Linked DNA regions of Xenopus tropicalis. The protein of the gene in region 7 interacts with the protein of the main gene of each other region in a pairwise test. Links are inferred from orthologs where the notes say so. Each region holds a gene or a part of one and is shown on either strand. Other genes may lie near its edges. The genes, in order: cep63, nmi, vim, washc3, cep57l1, deup1 and txlnb.

What was found.
Region 1: the proteins of txlnb (region 7) and cep63 interact in binary tests that used the Homo sapiens proteins (3 or more experiments, as listed by UniProt). The two-hybrid records come from large-scale screens. The link is inferred for Xenopus tropicalis from reciprocal best matches to the Homo sapiens genes TXLNB and CEP63.
Region 2: the proteins of txlnb (region 7) and nmi interact in binary tests that used the Homo sapiens proteins (3 or more experiments, as listed by UniProt). The two-hybrid records come from large-scale screens. The link is inferred for Xenopus tropicalis from reciprocal best matches to the Homo sapiens genes TXLNB and NMI.
Region 3: the proteins of txlnb (region 7) and vim interact in binary tests that used the Homo sapiens proteins (3 or more experiments, as listed by UniProt). The two-hybrid records come from large-scale screens. The link is inferred for Xenopus tropicalis from reciprocal best matches to the Homo sapiens genes TXLNB and VIM.
Region 4: the proteins of txlnb (region 7) and washc3 interact in binary tests that used the Homo sapiens proteins (3 or more experiments, as listed by UniProt). The two-hybrid records come from large-scale screens. The link is inferred for Xenopus tropicalis from reciprocal best matches to the Homo sapiens genes TXLNB and WASHC3.
Region 5: the proteins of txlnb (region 7) and cep57l1 interact in binary tests that used the Homo sapiens proteins (3 or more experiments, as listed by UniProt). The two-hybrid records come from large-scale screens. The link is inferred for Xenopus tropicalis from reciprocal best matches to the Homo sapiens genes TXLNB and CEP57L1.
Region 6: the proteins of txlnb (region 7) and deup1 interact in binary tests that used the Homo sapiens proteins (3 or more experiments, as listed by UniProt). The two-hybrid records come from large-scale screens. The link is inferred for Xenopus tropicalis from reciprocal best matches to the Homo sapiens genes TXLNB and DEUP1.

The regions. Positions count from the first base shown.
Region 1 is NC_030681.2:130,326,526-130,330,025, reverse strand, and holds part of cep63 (centrosomal protein of 63 kDa), read right to left. Parts: intron 2,405-3,500; coding exon 2,309-2,404; intron 1,716-2,308; coding exon 1,599-1,715; intron 172-1,598; coding exon 58-171; intron 1-57. UniProt on the Homo sapiens protein: Required for normal spindle assembly.
Region 2 is NC_030685.2:76,351,363-76,354,862, reverse strand, and holds part of nmi (N-myc-interactor), read right to left. Parts: intron 3,171-3,500; coding exon 3,012-3,170; intron 2,342-3,011; coding exon 2,225-2,341; intron 1,499-2,224; coding exon 1,336-1,498; intron 1-1,335. UniProt on the Homo sapiens protein: Acts as a signaling pathway regulator involved in innate immune system response.
Region 3 is NC_030682.2:28,577,923-28,581,422, forward strand, and holds part of vim (vimentin), read right to left. Parts: intron 2,876-3,500; coding exon 2,780-2,875; intron 2,653-2,779; coding exon 2,491-2,652; intron 689-2,490; coding exon 563-688; intron 1-562. UniProt on the Homo sapiens protein: Vimentins are class-III intermediate filaments found in various non-epithelial cells, especially mesenchymal cells. Vimentin is attached to the nucleus, endoplasmic reticulum, and mitochondria, either laterally or terminally.
Region 4 is NC_030679.2:49,091,941-49,095,440, forward strand, and holds part of washc3 (WASH complex subunit CCDC53), read right to left. Parts: intron 2,865-3,500; coding exon 2,754-2,864; intron 1,865-2,753; coding exon 1,800-1,864; intron 530-1,799; coding exon 451-529; 3' UTR 1-450. UniProt on the Homo sapiens protein: Acts as a component of the WASH core complex that functions as a nucleation-promoting factor (NPF) at the surface of endosomes, where it recruits and activates the Arp2/3 complex to induce actin polymerization, playing a key role in the fission of tubules that serve as transport intermediates during endosome sorting.
Region 5 is NC_030681.2:77,956,228-77,958,564, reverse strand, and holds part of cep57l1 (centrosomal protein cep57l1), read left to right. Parts: coding exon 1-185; intron 186-1,354; coding exon 1,355-1,499; intron 1,500-2,337. UniProt on the Homo sapiens protein: Centrosomal protein which may be required for microtubule attachment to centrosomes.
Region 6 is NC_030678.2:165,843,015-165,846,514, reverse strand, and holds part of deup1 (deuterosome assembly protein 1), read left to right. Parts: intron 1-2,988; coding exon 2,989-3,243; intron 3,244-3,500. UniProt on the Homo sapiens protein: Key structural component of the deuterosome, a structure that promotes de novo centriole amplification in multiciliated cells.
Region 7 is NC_030681.2:63,185,840-63,189,897, forward strand, and holds the start of txlnb (beta-taxilin), read right to left. Parts: upstream 2,801-4,058; 5' UTR 2,786-2,800; coding exon 2,699-2,785; intron 1-2,698. UniProt on the Homo sapiens protein: Promotes motor nerve regeneration. May be involved in intracellular vesicle traffic.

The DNA.
Region 1 (3,500 bases), about 67 Mb from region 7:
GTAATTAATTCATGTAAGCATTGCATGACTAAAAAAACAACTCATCTGATAATATACCTGGTACATTTCTGCCTGCTCACTCAAAGTTTTGCGTTGTGCCTCAAGTCCAGCCAGTTGCTGCTGATACAACAGACGCTGCTTCTCCCAATCCAAAGACCTCTGTCGGAATTCCTATGGGAACACCCACCAGTGATTGCATTTATTAACAGTATAATTCAAAAGAATCACAATACTTTTCAAAACAAGGATCATTTATATCTACAACAATAACAGCAGTCCATCTGCTCAGTCATAATTACAGCAAACAAATAACTGAGTAGTTTTTACACAGGAACTTACACAAAGGCAACCTTCAGTTGCACAGGAGTACATGGAAGTTGAGTATTTTCATTCCACAAAAGCTTGAACACCCAAGGTTACAATTACTTAAACTATAAATTGTCTTTCTCTATTACTTTATCTAAGAAGTAAGTGCATATTTAAAAAGGTTCAGCTCCCTTACAACCACTTAGACTGTAAACTCTATATGGGAGGGTTGTCCTTCCACTTGTCTCTGACACTTAGCTCTTAATTTTTAATTTAACTGTACTTTGTACTTGCAAAATATAATTTTTGGCAAATAAAAGAAACAAAATTCTAAGCAGCCTTGCAATATACATTTATTACAAGTTTGTAATGGTTTTTGAGTTGGTATATATAATTGCTATTAGAAGCAGTGTTTGCCTGTCCTTTTCTAATCTCTGCCCTGGTGGCTCAGACTGTTGAAACAATGTAACACAAGCAGCAGACTGACAGACCTGACTTGCTGGAGAAGCAAGACCTTTGCGACATTGTTTAAAATGTAACAGCCAGGAGTTCAGCAAATGCTGCTTTCAATAGCAATTACATTTACAAATAACGTTTAAAGCGCTACAAATTTTTAATTATTTCATATTGGAAAGTTGCTTAGAATTATGTTTTCTTTCATTATGCAAAAAATTATTTTTGGGGTTGACATGCCCTTTAAAGAACAATAAAAATGAATATGGCTAAAATTCCATATTTTTTATAGTGAACCAGCCTAAAGTTTCAGCATCTTTGTAGCAGCAATGATCCAGGCCTTCAGAGTTGTCGCAGGAGCCCTCCATCTTGAATTTTGAAATTCACATGCTCACATGCTCAGTGTGCTCTGGGCAGCTGTTGAGAAGCTGAGCTTAGGGGTCATCACAAAGTATTGAGCAGAAAATGAAGTTGGCCTGTAAAATAAGCTGAGACTGCAGGGCTAATTATTAAAGTCTGATGCTAGCTAACTGGTTTCAGAGCTGCCACACACACAGTATATTGTAAGTGGGTCCCTAAGCTCAGGTAAGTGCCAGCAGCACAGAGTATGGGTAAGGGAATCAGCAGAAAAGAAGATGGGGGGCTACTGGGGCATATTTGGGGGCACAGATCTTCCCTGCTAAAGGGCTGTGGTTGCCTCTGGCTGGTACAGGAGCACAAAACATAATGAACAACATTTCTGCCCTACCTGTTTGCTTAAGCTTTGGTTTACCTTGAATGTATAGTTCAGTACAGTGCCGTGTGCACAAGTAGCATTATATAAATAAAAATATACATACCTCTAACCGCCGCGTCAGGCGGCTGACTTCAGATCTTTCCTCGTCTACTTTATTCTTCATCTCTGATCGCAGGTGCTTCTTCTGTACTTTCTCGTAACTTTTTTTTAATCTGTTTAACTGAGCAAAACAGTGAAATATTTTAAGATCCTAAAAATACTGCTTTAAAAGAGAAAGAAAGGTAAAAGTAAGCTTTATCAGAAAGGTCTATGTAAATACAGCCATAAGCACTCACAGAAACGCTGCACTGACTTCTTTGTCAAAATATTTCTTGTGTCTGTAATTCCTGTGCCACAGACATGCAGCTTTCTGCTCTCTCCTGCTCCCCCCTCCCTCAAGAATCCTAAGAACTCACTCCCCACCTTAGGAATGTGAATCTGAGCCAATCAGCAGGAAGCTGAGCATGTTCACTTGGTCTGGGTGTCTGTGCAGGAGTGAGGCATTATGGGAACTTTCTTTACACAGCTCAGCGTTTTTTCTTCCTGTTTGGCTTCTGATCTTCTGAACGGGAGAAATATAGGGAGACTTAAGGGCACTACTGAGAAGGTATGCCTGCAGCTTGAGATTAACTCTTTACTAGCCTTTCCTTCTCCTTTAATGAGGGCACAGATTGTATGGAGATAAAAGGCAGATAGGCCAGCTGTGTTATGAAAGCAAATCCAATGACACGCAAGGACATGTTGGATAAGGCAGGGCTAAAGAGTATTGCTCACCTCCTCCTTAAAGCCTGACAGTTGAGCCTCATACTGTACAGTCTTATTCTGAGTCTCTTCTTCCTGCTGTATGAGCTGCTGTCTCAGTCTTCTAACCTGTAGGAATCAGATTAGTTTATCCCCAAAAATACACATAATTCAAAGATAAATAATGTACATCCCAAACTAACACAGTTGTGTACTAAATGCTCATGGAACATATGTATCTGTGAGTGTCATAGACAGGAGGGAGGAATAACCGAGGTCTGAGAGAGGGGTATCCTGTGGAGTGGTCAAACTCAAAAGGGGGAATTCACAAAAGTGGCAATATTGAGACAAAATAAAAATGCAGATAGACTTGTCGGATTTTCCACCTTATTCACAAATCTCTATCTCCACTTTTGTAAAAATTTTTTAGATTTTGTCTTTTAGATGTAATTTTACTGACAATTTGTCTTTTGCCCTTTTAAAATCTGTTGGTGTGCCATCAAACCCAGACCCACATCTACACAAGCCTTGGAATAACAATTTTACCTGCAGAATTGTAGCATTTTATTTGCCAGTCATTTCACTTTAGGGGCATTTCCTGAAGGGGAATTATAGTTTGCCCATGAAAACTATCAGTTTCTTAAGGACAACCTGGACTTTATAATTTTTTGTGTAATTCCACTTCTGTAACAAAATTTAGGGGTCTAAATACCAAAGTTTTATTTTATATGTGGAAATACAACTGATTTAGAAATCGCCATGTTTCATGAATATGCCAGTGCCAAATATGTATAGTTTTATGGAGTGTCAGTGAAGTGCTGCTAAAATTAAAAATTACCTGGGAGGCGTTACTGTTCCTTCCATTATATATAAAGATTTAATAATGCAAATATGAGGTAAAAACTTGTTTATGAAAATGTTAATGATGGTTTTTGCAGCTATTGTTCTAGGGTTTCTGTTTGTCCCCTGACAATAGGCCGCTAATCCCTATCAATCTGCTAATGATCCACCAATGGTGCTCCTACAAGAGGTGTGACTTGAAGAATGGGTGAAACAAAGCAAAACAGAAGATCTTAGAATTGACCTGAGAGAGTTACACTGAGCTGTACGCCATTTTGGAAATGTCTGGGGGCCTCTTAGAGATTAATATGCAGAAGAGGAAATATCTATATTTCAAACAGGAAAACAAAGTGACCAATTCTTATAAATAAGGCATAATATACAA
Region 2 (3,500 bases), on a different chromosome or scaffold from region 7:
TATAACGGCGGCAATGGGCGCAGTCAGTTTGGGGACAAGCCGATGCGGTCCCCAATCCGACTAAATTTTTTAACCTGCCCGATCAATATCTTCCCGATTTCAGGCCGTCATTCCTGCCCCTACACAGTCTGATAAGCTGCCAAATCAGTCTAAGGGGCCTATATCGGCAGCTACAATCAGCCCGTGTATGGCCACCTTTACACCCTGTAGCAGATTTTTTATCTGTAGTAAATTGCACAGTGCAACCAGACCCAATGAAGAAGTGCTGCTCGAATGAGCATTAAGGCACCTCTTAATCCTCTTGCACTTCTTCCTTCAACACTGCACCAACAAATTTCTCATGTGCATTGAGATACATGTATATTATCATTTGCCTTCAAACTGCAAATTAAAAATGGCAGGTAGAGGCTGCCTACAAGCTTTATTGCCCACCACTACTGAGGGAAGCTATGGCAGTGCTAGAGATTGTCGTAGAGGTGTGTTGTGCCTGTTTAGGCTACAGTGGGTTTAATGATCCAGATGTTTTAAGACAGACAATGGTAGCTGCAAAACTGCACCAAAACTCTAACACAGTGATCCGCAACCAGTGGCCCGGGGGCAACATAGCGCTCACCAATCTCTTGGATGTTTTTAAATTTCAGGCTTATTGTTTTTGTTGAATAAAAACAAAAAGTACTACCAAACTGCATAGAGGCTGCCTAATCGGAAATTACAGCCCTTATTTGACACCCCCGTGAACTTGTTTGGTGCTTGTGTTGCTCCCCAAATTTTTTTTACAATTGACTGTGGCTCACAAGTAAGAAAGGTTGGGGATCCCTGCTCTAACAGATGTCTGGCTAATCAGTTTCAAAAAAAGCTTCCATTATTATATCAAACCGTTTTTTTAGTGTGTTTCCCTCAACCTAACATTTACATCCTACACTCAACCATGCTCTTTGGCAGTTGGTACTGGAATCACATTGTTGGAAATCATTAGCTGATTTGTCCTTCAACTTAAAAATCCACACTGCTCATGGTATCAACATGAATGGCAAAAAAGCTGGGTTGGGGGCATTCAAAAAATAATTATCTCAAAAATAATGATCTCCCTTCAGTTCTTGGAGGAGGCCCTTCAGTCCATTGAGTTTGGTTCCAAAGTGAGCACTATTGGTCATGGGTCAAGTTTAGAGCTCAGTATTCAGCCAGGAAGGATAATTGAAGCAGAAGATCCCAAGGCAGCACTGACAGTAAAAACCTCCCCTCAACCCTTTATGTGGCACAGAGTTTGTGGGGTTGAACTGGGTTCCAAGGCAACTGGGAGAGCAGCCCAGTAGTGTTCTGAGCTTTGTGTCTTACCTTCGATGTCTTCAAATGTCAAAAGAGTCTGCCCACTTTCGAGGATAGTGACACCATTTATTGTAACAAAGCACTTGTAGGATATGTCTGGAGAAGATTCTCCATCCTTGGGGGTTTCCTCAACCTTAAAATTAATGTTTTTTTGTGGCAATGTGATCTCAGCCTGGTACAGAGAAAAAAATCAGTGAGGTTAAAATGGACGCAAGTGTGTGTGCTTCACTGTAAATCAGATCTAGTGTCAGTGTTTGGTGTGCAAATGATGCCTGCACCCCATTCTTTAGCTGTAAGTACACTGTGCCTATTGATAGAGAGGGCTGAGGGAACCCTGGCGTTCTGCCTGGTCAGGAGGTAATGGCAGTTCCAGGATTTGCACAGTGCTGTGCGTATATAGACTCAGCAGCGCAGCATTCGGAAAGGAAGGCAAGACGGACTTCAGAGACGCTTTGGATGCAAGTGGTTTTAGACGCAACTCACTGCAGGGAAAAACACAAATTTCCCACTGCATCTATGATCATAAACGAGCCCTCTAATTGGCATAAAACAGGGTTGATACCTATAATTATATTTTTATGTTTGTACATGTTAGACATTATGCCTAATACAGGGGAAGACCTATGATGCCATCATTTACTGTGTTCTACAGGTCATACCCTATATTAATAAGTGGTCCCTGACTGGTATGCACCCCCAGCTGGCTTCTTATAAGGGTACTGCCACTCTCCAGGAGGGCTACATGGAGACTGCTGCCAGACAGACAGAATACAAAGATTATACAGATCTAAAAACTAACAACAGGCTCTGTGCGGCCTAATACAAGTTCGATAGAATTTGCCTTGGCGAAAACTTACTCTGATCCCAAAAGAAACATCAGAAGGGAGAGTGTCTTTACCTGCAGATCCTCCTTTATATCTTCCAAAACACGTTGCTCCCTTTTAAAGGCTTTTGTGAGATCCTGAATCTGTTTCTGTAAATCTGAATTCTCCGTTTTTAGCCCCTTTATTTCTCTCTAAAATATTGAAAATTAGAAACCAATGAACATCGATGAATCGTTATAATTGAGACTAACAATGTGGTCAAAGTGGCAAGCTGATAGCTAGGCCAGATACTCTGTGACACAAATGGGCAAGGCACAGGGCAGGGCTCCAGAGCATTGTGAGTTGAACAAGGCTCCGTGTCTACGGTGGAACTGGGACTAGGTGCACGCTCTGTGGGTTCTGCATGTTAATTGATGTCCCTTAGTGCACTTATCACTTGGCAAATGATAAATAAACCGCTAAAGCTTTTCAGAGACATATATTATAGTATAGTATACTCAAGGGATGAAAATATAATTTTGCCTCTTTATAGGTCCCTGGTAAGGCCTCACCTTGAGTATGGGGGGCAGTTTTGGGCCCCAGTCCTTAAGAAGGATATTAATGAGCTGGAGAGAGTGCAGAGACGTGCAACTAAACTGGTAAAGGGGATGGAAGGGTTAAACTATGAGGTTAGACTGTCAGGGTTGGGGTTGTTTTCTCTGGAAAAGAGGCGCTTGCGAGGGGACATGATTACTCTTTATATGAGAGGACAGGGTATCTTTTCCCATAGCATAGAAAAAAACAGAGAAAAGAGTCCCCTAAATGTACAGATCGATGATGGCAGCTAAATAAGACAATGAGCAAGAATAGTTTCTTCTTTACCTCATAGAGATTTTCTTTTTCCTTTTTCTCTTCATCAGTTCCATCTAGCTTTCTCGCGAGTTCTTCCACCTGCCGCTGAGTTTTCATTTTTGCATCACTTGCATCCACTTTCTCCATGATTAAGTTCGATCTACGGTTATCTGCCGCATCATGTTTTTCCTTAGATATGGGAAAGAATTCGAAAGTTGAGGTAATCAGATACCAGCGCTGCATTTGTACCCTATTGCTATATTTTGAAAGTTCTACACAACATAGCATAGCGCCTTTAAAAGTTTAAAAATAATCACACAGCAGGCAATAACTATACCGAGATACCTTCAGCATCCAATAAAAACAAAAGCATCTACCAGACATATGAGAGATTTGGTGATGGCTAACAAGAAGGCACAGCAGATATTCATGGAGAAACCATTACAAATGAAGTCTTCAAGAAAAACACAGGTAGTCCAATTGATTTGACTTATTACTACAGATATAACATGACCTGGA
Region 3 (3,500 bases), on a different chromosome or scaffold from region 7:
GGGAGGGCTAACCCCAGGGTTCAGGTCTGTGGATGACTCCTGAGTCTTCTAGCATCAGAAAGTCACTTATCCTTATCCTTTTGGCACAAAAAGCTCTATAGGTAGGGACCCTTTGTACCAGAATTCAGTGCCGAGCTAAGCCGGGTTGCTGGCGGCGCTGAAGACGGGATGGAGGTAGCTCGCGGTGGGGGGTATAAAAAGAGCTTGGAACTAGGGGTAGGCAAAAGAATGTGCCAAATACCCTCAACGTTGCACCCTAGGCATGTAACTTTTCTGCCTACCCCTAGTTCCGGCTCTGCCATAATTATTTACTGTACAGTATTGTTAGCACTAGATAAAACCAATAACATCATTGGCGTACCCAATTCATTCACACCATGGGTTAAAATGTTAGTATAATTCTCCCCCATCACATCACAGAAAAAGGCATTCCCATGGATATTTGTGATCCAAGTAATATGCACACTTGTCTGCTTCAGTGCACTTGGAAAGTTTTAGTCTGTGGAAAACTCAACTGGACTGCCCAACATTCCCCTTCATTTGTCACAGTTGTTGTACTCACAGATCCTTTCATTGCATCAATCTCGCAGGTGAGAGTCTGGATCTGTCTGCGGTAGTCATTGGCATCCTGCTTAGCTTGACGCAGGGCATCATTGTTGCGATTAGCAGCTTCCGACAGGTCCGCAAACTACAACACAGTAAGCTACATTTTAGTATCTTAAATGCCATTATAGGTCATGTACAAATGGTTGTTTTTGAGACTGACACATCACATTGTATTGTTGTTCTTATTTTACTCATAACAGGCCAAGGCTCTCCCTAAAGTTTTTCTTGTACAGTTAAATGTAAACCAGAATGTTGTTTTAATGCTCAAGGATAGTATAGGGAGATGGTGCCAATAATAGCAGTGGGGTAATAGCCTCTGGGAAGGGACTGTGGCTGTGGGATAGCAGGTATAGTAGGGAGAGATGGTGCCTATAGTAGCAGTGGGATAATAGCCTCTGGGAAGGGACTGTGGCTGTGGTATAGCAGGTATAGTAGGGAGAGATGGTACCTATAGTAGCAGTGGGGGGATATTAGCCTCTGGGAAGGGACTGTGGCTGTGGTATAGCAGGTATAGTAGGGAGAGATGGTACCTATAGTAGCAGTTGGATAATAGCCTCTGGGAAGGGACTGTGGCTGTGGTATAGCAGGTATAGTAGGGTGAGATGGTGCCTATAGTAGCAGTGGGGGGATATTAGCCTCTGGGAAGGGACTGTGGCTGTGGTATAGCAGGTATAGTAGGGAGAGATGGTACCTTTAGTAGCAGTGGGGGGATAATAGCCCCTGGGAAGGGACTGTGGCTGTGGGATAGCAGGTATAGTAGGGAGAGATGGTGCCTATAGTAGCAGTGGGATAATAGCCTCTGGGAAGGGACTGTGGCTGTGGGATAGCAGGTATAGTAGGGAGAGATGGTGCCTATAGTAGCAGTGGGGGGATAATAGCCTCTGGGAAGGGACTGGGGCTGTGGGATAGCAGGTATAGTAGTGAGAGATGGTGCCTATAGTAGCAGTGGGATAATAGCCTCTGGGAAGGGACTGGGGCTGTGGGATAGCAGGTATAGTAGTGAGAGATGGTGCCTATAGTAGCAGTGGGGGGATAATAGCCTCTGGGAAGGGACTGGGGCTGTGGTATAGCAGGTATAGTAGGGAGAGATGGTACCTTTAGTAGCAGTGGGGGGATAATAGCCCCTGGGAAGGGACTGTGGCTGTGGGATAGCAGGTATAGTAGTGAGAGATGGTGCCTATAGTAGCAGTGGGGGGATAATAGCCTCTGGGAAGGGACTGGGGCTGTGGGATAGCAGGTATAGTAGGGAGAGATGGTGCCTATAGTAGCAGTGGGGGGATATTAGCCTCTGGGAAGGGACTGTGGCTGTGGTATAGCAGGTATAGTAGGGAGAGATGGTACCTTTAGTAGCAGTGGGGGGATAATAGCCCCTGGGAAGGGACTGTGGCTGTGGGATAGCAGGTATAGTAGTGAGAGATGGTGCCTATAGTAGCAGTGGGATAATAGCCTCTGGGAAGGGACTGGGGCTGTGGGATAGCAGGTATAGTAGTGAGAGATGGTGCCTATAGTAGCAGTGGGGGATAATAGCCTCTGGGAAGGGACTGTGGCTGTGGGATAGCAGGTATAGTAGGAAGAGATGGTGCCTATAGTAGCAGTGGGGGGATAATAGCCTCTGGGAAGGGACTGGGGCTGTGGGATAGCAGGTATAGTGGGGGGAGATGGTGCCTATAGTAGCAGTGGGGGGATAATGGCCTCTGGGAAGGGACTGTGGGATAGCAGGTTTAGTATAGCAAGAAAACTATAGCTAAGTTTTTTAATTCCCATCACCAAACCTTTTGTTGTTAAAGTACAACTCTCAGCTCCACCAAAGCACCATAAGGTGCACAGTTCGTGTATATATATTCTCAACCACCACCACTAATGGCAGAATCTCTTGTGACGCACCTTAGACTTGTACCAGTCTTCGGCATCCGAAAGATTTTTAGCAGCCACATTCTCGTACTGCTGGCGGACATCACGCAGGGCAGCAGTGAGGTCCGGTTTGGACACATCCATGTCAACCTGGATATGTGACTCCTGAATTTGAAGCTGAAGTTCTCGGATTTCCTAGTCAAACAAATAACAAAAAGTTCAACTTTTTTTCAGGTCTTAAAAACGTAGAATTTATATAACAGAATCAAGATACAACTACAAACATGGCAGACTACATAAATGTAGGGCTTTCTAGTCTCACCTCATCATGGAGTTTCTTCAGGAAAACAATCTCCTCTTGTAAAGACTCCACTTTCCTCTCCAAGTCAATACGTGCCAAAGAGGCATTGTCCACATCCTGAGAATAAAATGGTGTTACAGTTAACAGCTAGTAAATCATATGTCAACTCCTTAATACACATAAATGATTTTAAGAAGCATATTAAAGGTTTGATATTCTAGTCATTTCTAAAGGAAGGCATATTAATGCAGGGCTGTTGCAGCCCAGTCCCATGTGCTAATCATTTAAATGCCAGATGTTAAGGGCGAGACCCAAATGACATAACTTAGCAGAGTTCATCTTTGGCTCTAAGGATAAAAAAAGCATGAATTAAAGGAAAACAAAAATTATTATGATGTTGTTTGACCTAGGCTATTGGTAGCCAAGAGCACAAATTCCATCCAGATGCCTCTAACCCAAGAACATCAAGGTTAAAAGCAGGAAAGGGTCACTTTGAAAATGGTCCATGCACTGCTTTATGGCAATCTGGACTCGGTTAAGCCTTACAGCCAAAATACACCCAACCTGCAACCTGTCATCAATAAAATCAATCACTCCAGCCATCTATATGTAAAACTAACAGTAAGTGGAGCATCTAGGCTGCAATGGTCTTTAATTAAAGGGAATATTTTGTGTAAAAAAAAGGGTTGATTTGCAGGCTAATTTATTGAAGAATTCTCCCCAAACCCTACTAACCCCATCC
Region 4 (3,500 bases), on a different chromosome or scaffold from region 7:
GGCCTGTTTTATTTCCCTAAGTACAGTAATACCCACTTGTGCATTAAATGTGAATAATAAACATACAAATAGGATAATCCTGATAGTTTAACATATACACTTTATATATATATATATATTTATACACAGGTGCCTGTATTTTTTTTAGTGCATTTTTCCTGTTAGTTCAATAAAAAGGGTTTATGGAGAAGTTTACTGTATATGAGACAAAAGAAAAAAAAAATCAAATAAACGTATTAAGTTTTGGGATACCACACAAGGTTATTTTATATACCTTACAGCTCTGAGGCATCAACAGGTTTAACACTAAGGCACATTTTGTCCTAAAATACTACACTTGTAGCTACAACGTGTATCTATGTAAACTGACAGTAATGAGATAACAGGCAGATCAGATGCCTGCAATAAGTGGGAACAAATCTGCCCGGATTAGGAGGAGTCTAAATGCTCTCAGTCACTGAAGGAAGACTCACTGTCGGAACTTTCTTCTGCTTCAGCTTCTCCATCTGGCACTGGTGCATCAGGAGTTCTGGGGAAATAAACGTTAGAAATTGCATTATTCTTCTCCTTATATCTATGAAAGAAGCCCAGAAATGTATCAGAATTTCAACTCAGACCTACAGTGCAAGTTAATGGAAATATACAGTAATGCAGTTTGGAAGGCACAGAAAAAGACAGTCTATTAAATACAATGCATTATTATATATTCCAGCATGTTATACTTTTCTATTTGGCTATTGGAGATTTCGTTCATGGTCAGTTTTAGGCCCCATTATTCATATAAGCAGGTCTTGGGCATGGAATCTTAGGAATTTCTGCAGCAGCCAACAGAGCCAGTAGTTTCTACTAACTCCAGGACAGGTTAAACAAGTTGGTGGCGCACAATTTAGGAAAACTAACTACTGATGTCTATTCATGGTCCTTATTAACTGGCTGTACTTTATATTGTAATACAGCACTGCTAGGTTTTTGCTGTAAGTAGCCACAAGCTACATTTGGGGAATCTACATATAATTTATTTGCTCTGTACACAAAACAAACTGCCTGATGACAGTTCTGCTCAGCCGTCATACTCTTGCGGAACTTCAGGATTATATCGGTTATGGTTCCGTTACAGCAGAGAACAAACCCTGTATAGTCACTATGCCTTGAAAACTCAAACATTGCCACCTTGTGTCTGTTAATAAAACTGCACAAATCTGTAGCTTCATTACCATTGCAAAGTTAAAGGCAAAATATCCCACTAGTGGCTGATGATGAAATTTATTTTATTTTGTTACTGTTTAGATACTGAATTATTTGCACGCTCTTAAACCTAAGGTTTTTGTTCCAGCTGCAAACAACACATTCATGGGGTGGTCATTCATCTGGTCTGCCTACCTTTTGTATCACATGTTCTCACATAGGGGTATCCTGAACATTGTAAACCAACAAAAAACCATAACTGCACAAAACTTCCAAGTTCCCTACTCCTTGTTTAATAGTAAAAGAAGATTGTTGTTCATTTTCAGGCCAGAATAGAATGCTATATTTGCTTATGGACTACATTATACTGGCCAATTATGGATGCCCGAGACCAACTGCTACATATAAAACAGAATACACCAAGCAATTAACCTATATTTTTCAGGATAATTTAGCCTTTGGGGGGCATTCATTACAAAATACCCTATGTTAATGTTTTAAACATAAAGAAAGTAACCTAAAAGTCCAGGTAGTTCAGCCAATCACATTATATCTAGACAATATGGATCACTTGCCTCACTCTGCAACCAAGCCACATACATATCTTCACTTACTCTAAAAGGTCTGGATTTAGCCCTTCTGAAATCATTTTATTCTTGATAGCCATCACTGGGACACCCTGGTAATTGAAAAAAATTAATACATTTACAGTATACCACATTTTAAAAATGTATAATGTAAAAGAATTATGACCCAATTTAATTAAAGCTCACAGTATGTAGTTCTATAAAAAAAATATTTGAACATTTTACTGAAGGTGCTTAAGTGGCAAATCTTGTTTTCATTAAAACCTTTTTACACACTGGCGGGTACACAGCAGCCATACAGTCAATAGAAATCCATATTTTAAATCACAGTGACCCACCAAGCAAGTGTAAATGGATTAACAAAGTTTAGTAATACATGAAGCCTTGCTCAGAAAGCAGAGTATAAAGTGTTAATTGGTGAAGAAGCTATGAAAAAAGTGAAAGGAAATGATAAGTGGTACTAGAAAAAAAATTACATGGATCATCACTGGAATCAAACATACTGTAGGAAGGTTAATGGTAATATTGTTATTATGCCAGCAATAGTGTGGTAATGTCACTACTGTGACTAATAAAAGTAATTATAAACAACAACTAAGATGTATAAGGACACTAGACATTAATAATTATCTAACCAGTGGTCCACCCAATGATCCTGGGGGATGACAATTTATTACAGCTGAAAGGCCACAAGCTGAACAGGTCTATGTGATATTTATTTCATTCATTAATTTCTTAGAATGTCCAACACAAAAGGGTTAAAAAAAAAATATATTTTACATGCAGGGTATCATATCAGCTAGGATGTCTGTAAACTATACAAATAAAACTTTTTTATGGTTTGCGCTTTAAATAACCTTGCAGTTTACAGAAGGCTGCACGACATAAAATTTTATATTTTGCCAATGCAGTTACAAATTTTAGCATACACGCACCAAATAAGCAGTTTTATTTAACAATAAAGTTATTAGAATGACTTACCACTTGGACCATCTTTAGATATCGGGCATATCTAGGATCTTTCGAAACAGTTGTAATGTTTTCCGATTTTGCCTCCTCTTTTTGAAGAATACCATCACTTATGGAATTGTTCTAAATGACCACAATTGATCAGTTTCAATGTAAATAGGTCAGTTTGTATAAATTTACATAAAATGCACACAAACCTCCCGCAAGATTTTCCCAGTTACATATGGTCCAAATTATCTGGACACCTCTGTCCAACATTTTACTCTAAAACCAAGGGAAGTTGTCTCTTTGCTTCTTTAACCGCCTTTATAACACATGCTCTTCTTAAAAGGCTTCCACCAGATGCTGGGACATTGTTGGTGGCATTTGCTTCCATTTAAAAGTAAGATGTTGGGCACGACAGGCCTGGCTCATGCTGCCATTCTAATTCACCCTACAGGAGTTCAGTTGGGTTAAGATCAATGCATGGTGCAGGCCAGTAAAGCTTTTCTGCTCCCATCTCTGCAAACCAATTCTGTATGTACCATTATTGTCTTCCCCAAACTGCTACTACTAAGCAGGAACCTCGGAATTGAAAAGTCATTGTTTGATGTAGTGGCACCTATGATGGGTGTGGCTTATAAAGCCAGTTCCAATATATAAGGGATGTCTACAAAATTTTAACCACAGTATATAAGGCTGTGGGCACTAAGAACCCTTATTTTCAGTTCATCATTGGACAAGGGGTAACCAAAAGGTAAAAAAAGAACACTTAGGAGT
Region 5 (2,337 bases), about 15 Mb from region 7:
TTGCACATGATGAAACACCACAGCCCACAGGTTTCACAAAAGAACCCTAAAACTGCTGAACACAAACCCTCCGTTTTGCCAGGTGGAAGTAGAACTATACCCACGCGCTTAATATCTTCTTTTACCGGAGACAATTTGTCTGACATTTTGTTAGCTTTACAAGATGAGCTGGGGCAAATTAGTTTGTGAGTACTCCATAGTTATATATCAATAGGCATTCATAAAGTAATGGATCTACAGTTCTGCAAGTTACGCAGCACTTTACATTATTATGTATGCCAAACAGGGCTATTACAATAATTTAATAAACAAAGATTACAGAATAAAAATAGGATCAGAAAGCTCTTACAAGAACTTATAATGTAAGGCCCTGGTCACACAGTGTTGACTCTGCTTCTCTCAGCCTGAGTTTTGTAGACAGTCTGAGAGAAGCAGATATGCTGTCTTCCGCAGCTCCATATAGCTGCACTGACAAGCATAGCTTCCGCCTGAGTACAGCTACATGGAGGTGGATCTGAAAATGCCTGTTTTCATGTTGTTCAGGCCAATTTCCACCTTGTTTAGCTGCAGGCAGACAGAAGCTGTGTCTGTCAATGCAGCTATACAGAGATGTAGAAGAGAGCCAATCTGCTTTTCTTAGCCTGCCTACAAAACGCAGTCTTTATAGAAATAATGGTAATTTTAATAAGGTAATTTTACGACATATAGTAGTTGCATGCTGAAATCATATCCTTTTTACTTCTGTGATTTCTCCAGTAGCCCTCCATACATATCTGCCTTCATTTCCTTCAGCACCATAGATTCTTCATGTTCTTAGTAGAGGACCTTTACTTGCTTGCACAGCAAGCTGTTCTAAGCTCTGTCTGTTAGTCATTTTCTATTTTTTCCATACTACAGCTATAGGATCCATTATCCGGAAACCTTTTATAGAAAACTTAGAATTATGGAAAGACAACCCCGTAATACCGTAATGTCCATTTTAAACAATGAATTTTAATTCTTAAAAATATTTTCTATATTCTTTGTAAAACAGTAGACTTTTTATGGAAAGATCCCTTATCTGTAAAACCCCAGGTCCCCAGGATTAAAGATCCTATACTTGTACCATCAATATTTGGCATTTCCACTACGGTATACTCTTCATGTGTTACAAAGGCAATATTAAACCTCGAATCTGTGTAGGTTTTTTTGTGCGTGTGACCATGGAGGTTAACCGAGTACATTTGTGTACCTTTTAGTATAAAAAAAAAATGCATTTCATTTTCTCTACAAGCCCTGTTGATTGGTCTTACTTTTTCCGTTACTGGTCACTTACTGTATCACTTGCTTGTCTAACATATGCATTTTTTCCTAGTGAACACCAAGAGCTTCTCAGGCATATCAATGAAACAAAGAACACTGACATGAAAGAAGATCTAGAACGAGAACTAGATTATGTTGTGAAGCAAATGGAAATAAAAAGTGATCAGATAATGAAATTAAAACGTCATCAGTTAAATGTAAGCAACATAACATCATAGGTGTAATGTCACACTCTGACATGCTGTTATACAGATGGTGGTATAATCTAGTGTAAAAATTATGGTAAAAATTGAAGTCCAGTTGTAATGATATACCTTTAAGCAACATGCAGACAAAAGTTAGTTGTTTGCACATGACCGCATTATGTTCTTCAAAGTAAGATAATGTAAGTATAATTTACATAAAGTTTCCAGCTGCAGCAGTGCACACTGGAAAATCTAAGGGACCACCATGATCAGTCTTTAAAACGATCAGTCTTTATTAATACTTATGCTTTGGTGCTGAATTTCATTAGCTGGAACTGGTGCTTTAGTCAAGGTGGATAGTCTCATTCAAGTATCAGTCTATATTGTCACAAAACCTTCAAGCATGTGCTAGGACAGTGCTGTCCAACTTCTGCGGTGCCGAGGGCCGGAATTTCTCTAGCATACATGGTGGAGGGCCGCTAATGGAAGCCAGTTTTGACCACTCCCCTTTTAAACCACACCCACTTCAAACCACCCATTTTATTACAATGGTGGTAGTGCAGCAAAAACCCAAATGCATGGTCCTCACTGCAGGGATATCAACCGTCATTTATTTGTGAAAGAATTATATTATGGTCATATTAAGACATAACCTTAAATCCATATGCCTCCTCTTCCCCTGTGTAAAGCACAGTAACCCCCAGCACATAATTACACACCTTAGGGACCATTTATTGGCTATTTCCGACTGCTAATAAACTTGCAGAACAAACCCCTGCCAGGTTCACCTCCCACAGGCAGCATAAGGCAGGCAGAGTATGGCACACACAGGCAGTACTCTGCTTGCCCT
Region 6 (3,500 bases), on a different chromosome or scaffold from region 7:
CGCTGGGTCAGATCGGGATGATCAGATTGTTTGGCCCATGGGTCATCAACTGGACCTCTTGTCTATGGTGGCTCATCTGGTGAAGGGTGTCATGAAGTGAAAGACCCACATGAAGTGAAAGACCCAAATCTCCTTCTCATACTTGTCCCGGGAGGGGAGCCCCTCTGGGGTTCATTTATAAAGCCTGGGCAAATTCACACCTGGGCAGTATCCCATGGCAACCAACAAAAAACTTTTCAACCAGCAGGTGCCTGAAAAAAGCTAATCACTGATTGGTTGCTATGGCCAGGTGTAAATTTGCCCAGTGTTAGTGCAGTTCTGAAGGAATAGGAAGAATTACTGAAACAACTGTTGCCATGAAACACAATATATTTTTTTTTACATCACTTGGAAAAACAAGCTCTGAAGTGCTATAAAAAATAATTGGTATTTTATAAATCGTAGAGCCATGAACCCCCTAGGTAAGCGATTATGACTGATGGGGTCTGGCTATTAGGTTTGCAAGGAAGGAGTTTGTATTTATGGAAATTGCGCCAGTTGGTTGCCCATAGCAACCATTGACATCTTTGCTTTTTTTAAAAAACTTATTTACCAGAATAAATGCTTTGGATGTTGCTCTTACCCGATCACCTTTACAGATGCTGATATCAAATAATATAGCAGTCAGTAGGCACGATCACAATTGTTTTGCCCACCGCATTTTAGTATCACAAACGGGCAGGTCCTGAGTTCAGTACTCTGGGGCAGTGACTGATGCGAATAATGTATAATCTCTATAAAGCGCTGTGGAAATGGGTCGGCGCTATATAAATAACAGGAAATAATAAACAGGCTGAAACTGGCCCCTATGAAAACTGCCTGATTTGCCCATGTTTGCACTTTCAGTCAGTTCTCATAAAGGGTAAGTAAAAGGCAATGTGATTCTGAGTAAGAGATAGACAGCACTGTGATATAGACATTACTGCAGTGCAGTCCATTTCTTCCATGTAGCTGACCAGTTATCCAATAAAACACTTTCCAAGATACCTTTTGGAACAGGCCTGCAGTTGGTCAGCATTACTTTAGTATAAATATAATGAGAAATAAATGTAAAGATTAGTTTACATGCATTCCCCTAAACAAACATTATTGCCCAACTCACTGCGCTGATCCTAGTCACAATGAACAGATCATGCTGGCAGCCATTGAACTGGAGTTGGCATACCTAGACATATGCATTTTTCAACCATTAAAATTCTCCACCCAACACATATGTGAGCAGTCTTTGGCTAGAATAAGAAATTATTTTGTGCAGCCGGTTGCTTATTCAATCAGAAGCGACCAAAATGGCCCATTCTGCCTTTTCATATATTGATGTCTGGGCAGATGGATGCAAAATAATGGTGGTAGTGACCCAAAAGGCCATGTACTTTCCGTTCAGCAGAATAGAGACTGGAATAGTAATTGGAGAAAAATAAGTAATAATAATTACAATAATAATACAATTGTAGCCTCACAGAGCAATAGGTTTTTGGCTGCTGGGGTCAGTGACCCCCCATTTGAAAGTTGGAAAGAGTCAGAAGACGGCAAATAATTTAAAAAACTGTAAACAATAAATAAAATGCAAGTTGCTTAGAATTTGTCATTCTCTTCTCTTTGGCATCATCGTACTGTTGGATCAAGGCCGCGGGCACAAGTGGCACACATGCCAGGCAGATTGATAAAGTAGCTGGAGTCTCAGAGCACTAACGGATATAGAAAGTAGGGATGCACCGAATCCTAATTGGCATAAGCTAATTACGTTTCTGAAGGTTTAAAATTTTCAACTTCCATGTTTGCTTGACAAAAAGGTCACGTGACTTTTCGTATTCAGTTCGGCCAAAAGCGTGGATTCGGCCGAATCTAAATCCTGATGAAAAAAGCTGAATCCCGAACCAAATCCTGGATTCGGTGCATCCCTAATAAAAATGACTTCCATCTGTAGATATCTTGGCCAAAATATTTTTTACAGAAATCATTGTCTAAAATCTTGACATCTTGGTTGGGAACTTTGTATAATGTGCTGATGCCATGGCAGCATCAGATGTTTAGGAACTTAGTGAACAGCACTATTAGAATGTGCTCGATTGGTGGATTCGAAAGTACCAGATATTAGATTAGGCAAGAATGAGATTGAGTCAAATAGACATCAATGGACGGTAATGAGAGTCAAGTTAAGGTGTTTGACCACCGCTGTTCTCTACCCGATGGCAGTGATGCCACGTGTCCCATCAGCCTTTGGGGAGAAGGCTTGTTGGCTCTTCTAGATGCTCTTGGAAGCCCAGATTGATGGATAGATTGAGATTTGGGGCAAAACATGCATTTGCTGTACTAGATGTTCTTGAATCTGTTAATGATTCTTGTTATGAGTGATGGGTTCTGAGCCCAAGCTTTGCCCCTCAGAAGGGTACTGAGTAAGAAAACAGTCCAAAAACCTCTACCTTTAGGTTTATTTGTATTGTTTGATATATTTGTAGATAAATTCAATCCATAAATCAGTCAAAGCTTGTAGGTATTTGTCTTCCTGTTACATGGAACAAAGCAAAGCTCAAGAGACAGAGCTTAGCTGAAGGAAAGAACATTGGACCCTACAGACAGACCAAGGGAAGTTCTAAGTTTGCCTCTGTAATACAATTTTTGCTGTTCTGTGCACATAATAGGATTTATTTTGTACTTCATCCCATTTTTGCTCACGCTGGATCGCTTCCAGCTTAAAATCAGATTTTTATTCAAGAACTTAGATATCCAGCAGAACATTTCCATTAGAGGATTTTTGTGATTTAATGGAAACCTTTCCTTTGGCTCCCCCACGTTCTATATTTACTCCCCGGCTTCTCATCACATCTAATAATTGTGGTGGCGCAGTTACCAGAAGCCGTTCTTCCATTTCATTTGTCTAATTGATTCTCAGTATGTCGTTACAATTGCAGGGTCACAAAATAATTCTGATTTTATGTGTCGTCCTGGTAGAAGGAGTCGCTGAGCTATCAGGAGCAGCTTTCCAGCCAGAAGCAGCTGCAGAGTGAAGCAATTACCAATAACCAGTCTGAAATGCGACGACTGCGGTGCCTGCTTGATACTTCCCAGGAGACCATCAGGAGTGACGGGGTCATCATAGAAAACCTCAAGTCTACTGTAAAAGAAATCACATTAAGCAGGGACTCGCTGAAAGATGAAAATCAGCAGCTCTTACAGGAACTAAGGAGATGTCAAAAGCAGTCCCAGGTAATGGCCGGATAGATGGCGGCACGCAGCTATCATCTGTTGATCTGTCAAGCGAAATAATAACGTGTCATTTACCCAGCTATCAGGTTACCCGAACAGTTCCGTGTAAATATGGAAATTATTATGAAGAGTTGCTGCCGCAGTTATATCCGCTATCATGTAGGAAGATGCAGAGCTTTAATGGCCACCCTCTAGTACAGGGATCCCCAACCTTTGTTTACCCATGAGCAACATGTTAATGAATAAAAAGCTGGGGA
Region 7 (4,058 bases):
TCTAGGGTAGCACTCAAGTGTTCACCCCCATATCCAGGGCCAGAACTAGGGGTAGGCAGAAAAAGCATGTGCCTAGGGAGCAATGGTACCTTTTCTTTTACCTAACCCTAATTCTGGGCCCTTTTTCCCCCACCATCCACATGTGAGCTACTTCCCTCCCCTGTCTTCAGCGCCGCCCCCCCTCCCCTGTGTCAAAAATGGCTGGACGAGGAGGCCAGCTGGGTGGTCTAGGGTGCCCGGATGGCTTGGCCTGGCACTACCCATATTGCTCACTTTTAAGCTTCACTTACAGTAGTGTTTAGGAAACCAAATAGATATTCTCTGCCAGTTTCACCATAACTGGCCTTAAAAAGATACTGACACCAGAAATGAAACCTTTTATACATCTATTGTAACATTGGCTTTGCATGAGCTTTATCATGTTGCCAAAAAAGTATTTCCTGATGCTTTCCATTAGTTATCTGATCCCCCATGTTCTTCTGTGAGGGGGCAGCCATATTTGTGCAGCAGTAGGCCGTTAGCATTAGAAGCTATAACTGACAGGCTGAGAAGGGACAGTCAGGTTGTCAAAACAGTCAGGTGTAGGAACTTCAAGCAACAATTACATACAAAACCAACCCTAACAGTGAAAAAAGATCAACATGACCTATAGGTAACTTTTTATGTAGATTCATAATTTGAAAAGTAATTTTTTTGAGTCAGTATCACTTCATCATTTACCTAGGGAGATGAAGTTATAATATTGGAAATACTATACTCCCAGTACAATATATAAGGATATTTTAAGTTTCTATGGCTATATAAATGGAAAAGTATGCAGGATGCAGAGTGCAGATAATGAAATGTCTAATATCCTTATGTTTTACACATGTGGTACTTTATCATTAGGAATCACCTTTTCTAAGTATATATTTTACATATATATTATAGGTTATATTTGTGAATAATAAGATGTAAAGAATGCTACAAACAGTTTTGATATTATTAAAGTTCACCTTTAAATTAATTTGTAGCATGATGTAGACCAGTGATCCCTAACCAGTGGCTTGTGACCAATTTGTTGCTCACCACTAGTGATGAATTAAATTTTTCAGCAGGCATGGATTTGCTGCAAATTTCCATCTTTCACCATTGGCGGATTATTTTGTGAAATGTGTGCAAAAATTTGCAGCGGAAAAATTTGCAGTGCGCAAGTAAAAAAAACGAGCGTCAAAAAATGCAACTCGTCAAAAAAATCTTTTTTCAATACTCTGAGTCAATTTACAACTGGTTTTTATTTTTAATTTTTTTGTAGCTTATATATTTGTTCATCAGCTCTCACAGTCTATCTATCTGGCTGCTATGGTTTAGCAAGTCTGGCCTAGAAACAAAGCTGTGGTTTAAATGAGAGAATTTAATATGAATAATAAAATTGTAGCCTTACAGAGTAATAGGTTTTTGGCTGATAGTGACTCCAATTTAAAAGCTGGAAAGAGATAACCAAATAATTCAAAAACTGAAAAATAAAGATCATTTGAAAAGTTGCTAAGAATTGAACATTCTATAACATCCTAAAGTTACCATAAAAGAACATTAGCCCTTTAATGGCTACACAATCATTGTTTTAAAACCAACACTGCTTGAGTCCCTGTGTTCTAAAAAGTGATGTTTTTGATGTCACTTAAATTACTGATAGATATAATCAGATATATAATCAATTCAGAGCAACTCTTGCATTTACATATTTTCTTAATGTTAGAATATAACGCTATAATAAAAAGCAGCACATTATATGTCACTGATCAAGAAAAAGATTGTATTTCTTCTTGGCAAAGTGCTCCCTTCTGTCCCTTCATACAGATGGACAGCACCTGTTGTCAAGCCAGAAACTATTTTAGGCCCCACTGAAAAAGTATCCCAGGGGTTTGTCAAAATAGCATTTGTATTACATATTAAAGTGCACACAAACTTACCAAACATACTCCCTGTGAAAAGCTAACAAAAAAAAGTACTGTGTTTCATAATATTATAAATCCTACAGTTAAATAAAGCCCCATTTTACTATACTAGCACTGCTCTCTTGGCAAACAAAGAATTCCTTGTCAGTGGCAGTACACAATATCAGACAGATATATTAATCTCTGCCAAAAGGGATTAACTGCAATGTTGAAAAATCAGAAATTAGACATTTTGCACTGCAAAAGAATCACCGCTAATTAGGTAAAGTTTTTAACAATTAAAGAAACTCAGTGCTGTATTTCATATATCAGACCTTGAATGACTACAGTTAAACAAGAGTGGGAAACAGGCATAGTGGGAAGACCAAGGCGTCAATAAAAAGGGAGAAAAATATGTTAATTGGGGAGGTCCAGTAAGAGATCCCGATTTACTGTTTTTTTTAATCAAAACTCTCAGCACACCCCGACAGCCAGGTAGCCAAACTAAACATCCCTGAATATGTAACTAAAAGCATCTGACAAATGTTACAGAGTATTTGTATTTTTGGCAACATTTTTCCCTAAGGTAGGGCCCAGGTAAGAATACTTCACAGAATGAAGGGCCCAGGCCAGATGGCTTCCTTATAACCTGCCCTTTAAATTATTGTAATTTAGAAACAGAAATAAAGTAAATCACAAATAAGAGCTAAACCGTCAAGCATAAAATCCTAAATGCGGTTATCTAGGAATTAATTAAAATATAATATTTCTAAAGAACTTACCATGGAAGACTTGAAGAAGAGCAGAAAGTATAACCTATGTAGGCAACGTGAGCGAAAAAGGGACAACTGGAGAAAGAGGCAGGACATTTAGAGAATGGCTTATGGAGGAGGGGAAAAAGGAACAGATGAGGGCGATGACAGCTTGCCAAAATTAGACAGGGAATGCAACTAAAGGATAAGAGAATACAACTATAACCCTCTTGAAGGGCATTCACATAAAAAAACAACAAATTGTAGGTTCTGTAAAAAAAATTTAAAACTATGAAAATGCTTTTTTTATTATATGGAAAAGTTTTGTTGGTAAATACAAAGCAACAGCTATATTTAGCAGAGAAGATATTTAAGAAACGTGACTTTACTGTATGGAATTTAATTACATACAGTTCTAGCATTGTAAGACTATGGGTCGACTTGTATGAAAAGACAAGATCTTATCTACACACACATAAATTAAAGATATAAAGAACAATTAATATCTGATTGTACATTAACTGCAATGTCTATAGTGTCATCTGTATTAAGCAGGGCCCTCTTTACCTACTGTATCTTTAATTTTTTTGAATTAAATCTGTGTGTATATATTTAATGTATGCACCCCATGGTACAGAGAATATTTTGGCACCTATGCCTGCCATTTTAATTCTATAATTTGGCCCTAGGGCCAAATTAGCCCTACATCGCCCACTTATAGGTGCCGACCTCGCCAAACGAGTGGATCTTACAGTGTATGGCCACCATTACTCAGTCTTAGCACTTATGAGGCAATGCCTCATCCACTGTAAACTGCAGCCCTTTGACCCACCCACTTACCTTGTAAGCACTATGGGCTAGCACTATGTGCTAGCTCCTTCCTCTTGTCTTTTAACACTTTTCCTGCCAACAGCGTATGGCATAAGTGATTGCAGAAATATGCTTTATCTGCCAACCACGTATGTCATACGTTGTTTGGCAGATGCCACTTCTGCAGAGAGTCCTGAGCGATGACAGCCCCCTGGGCAACGAGCCAGGGGGGCTGTCATGTGGGTCCTGCGATGCAATCATCATAGGACCAACCTCCAAGCAGCAGATGTGATCTGCTGCTTCTCCTTCGGCTCAGAGGACAGAGGACTCTGCAGGACCACTGAGGACAGCTGATTGCAATCTGATTGCTTGCAATCTGATTGGCCATCTAGCTCTAGGACAGGTAAGTGCCCTTTCCTTACACTATTATACACACTTTCACACACTCACATACAATTACTTGCATTTACACACACATAGAACACACATATTAGAACAGTTTTTTAAAAAAAATTTGCACACTTTAGCACACTTTTATACACTCATATACACACTTACATGCTGTCACACAACATTTAGA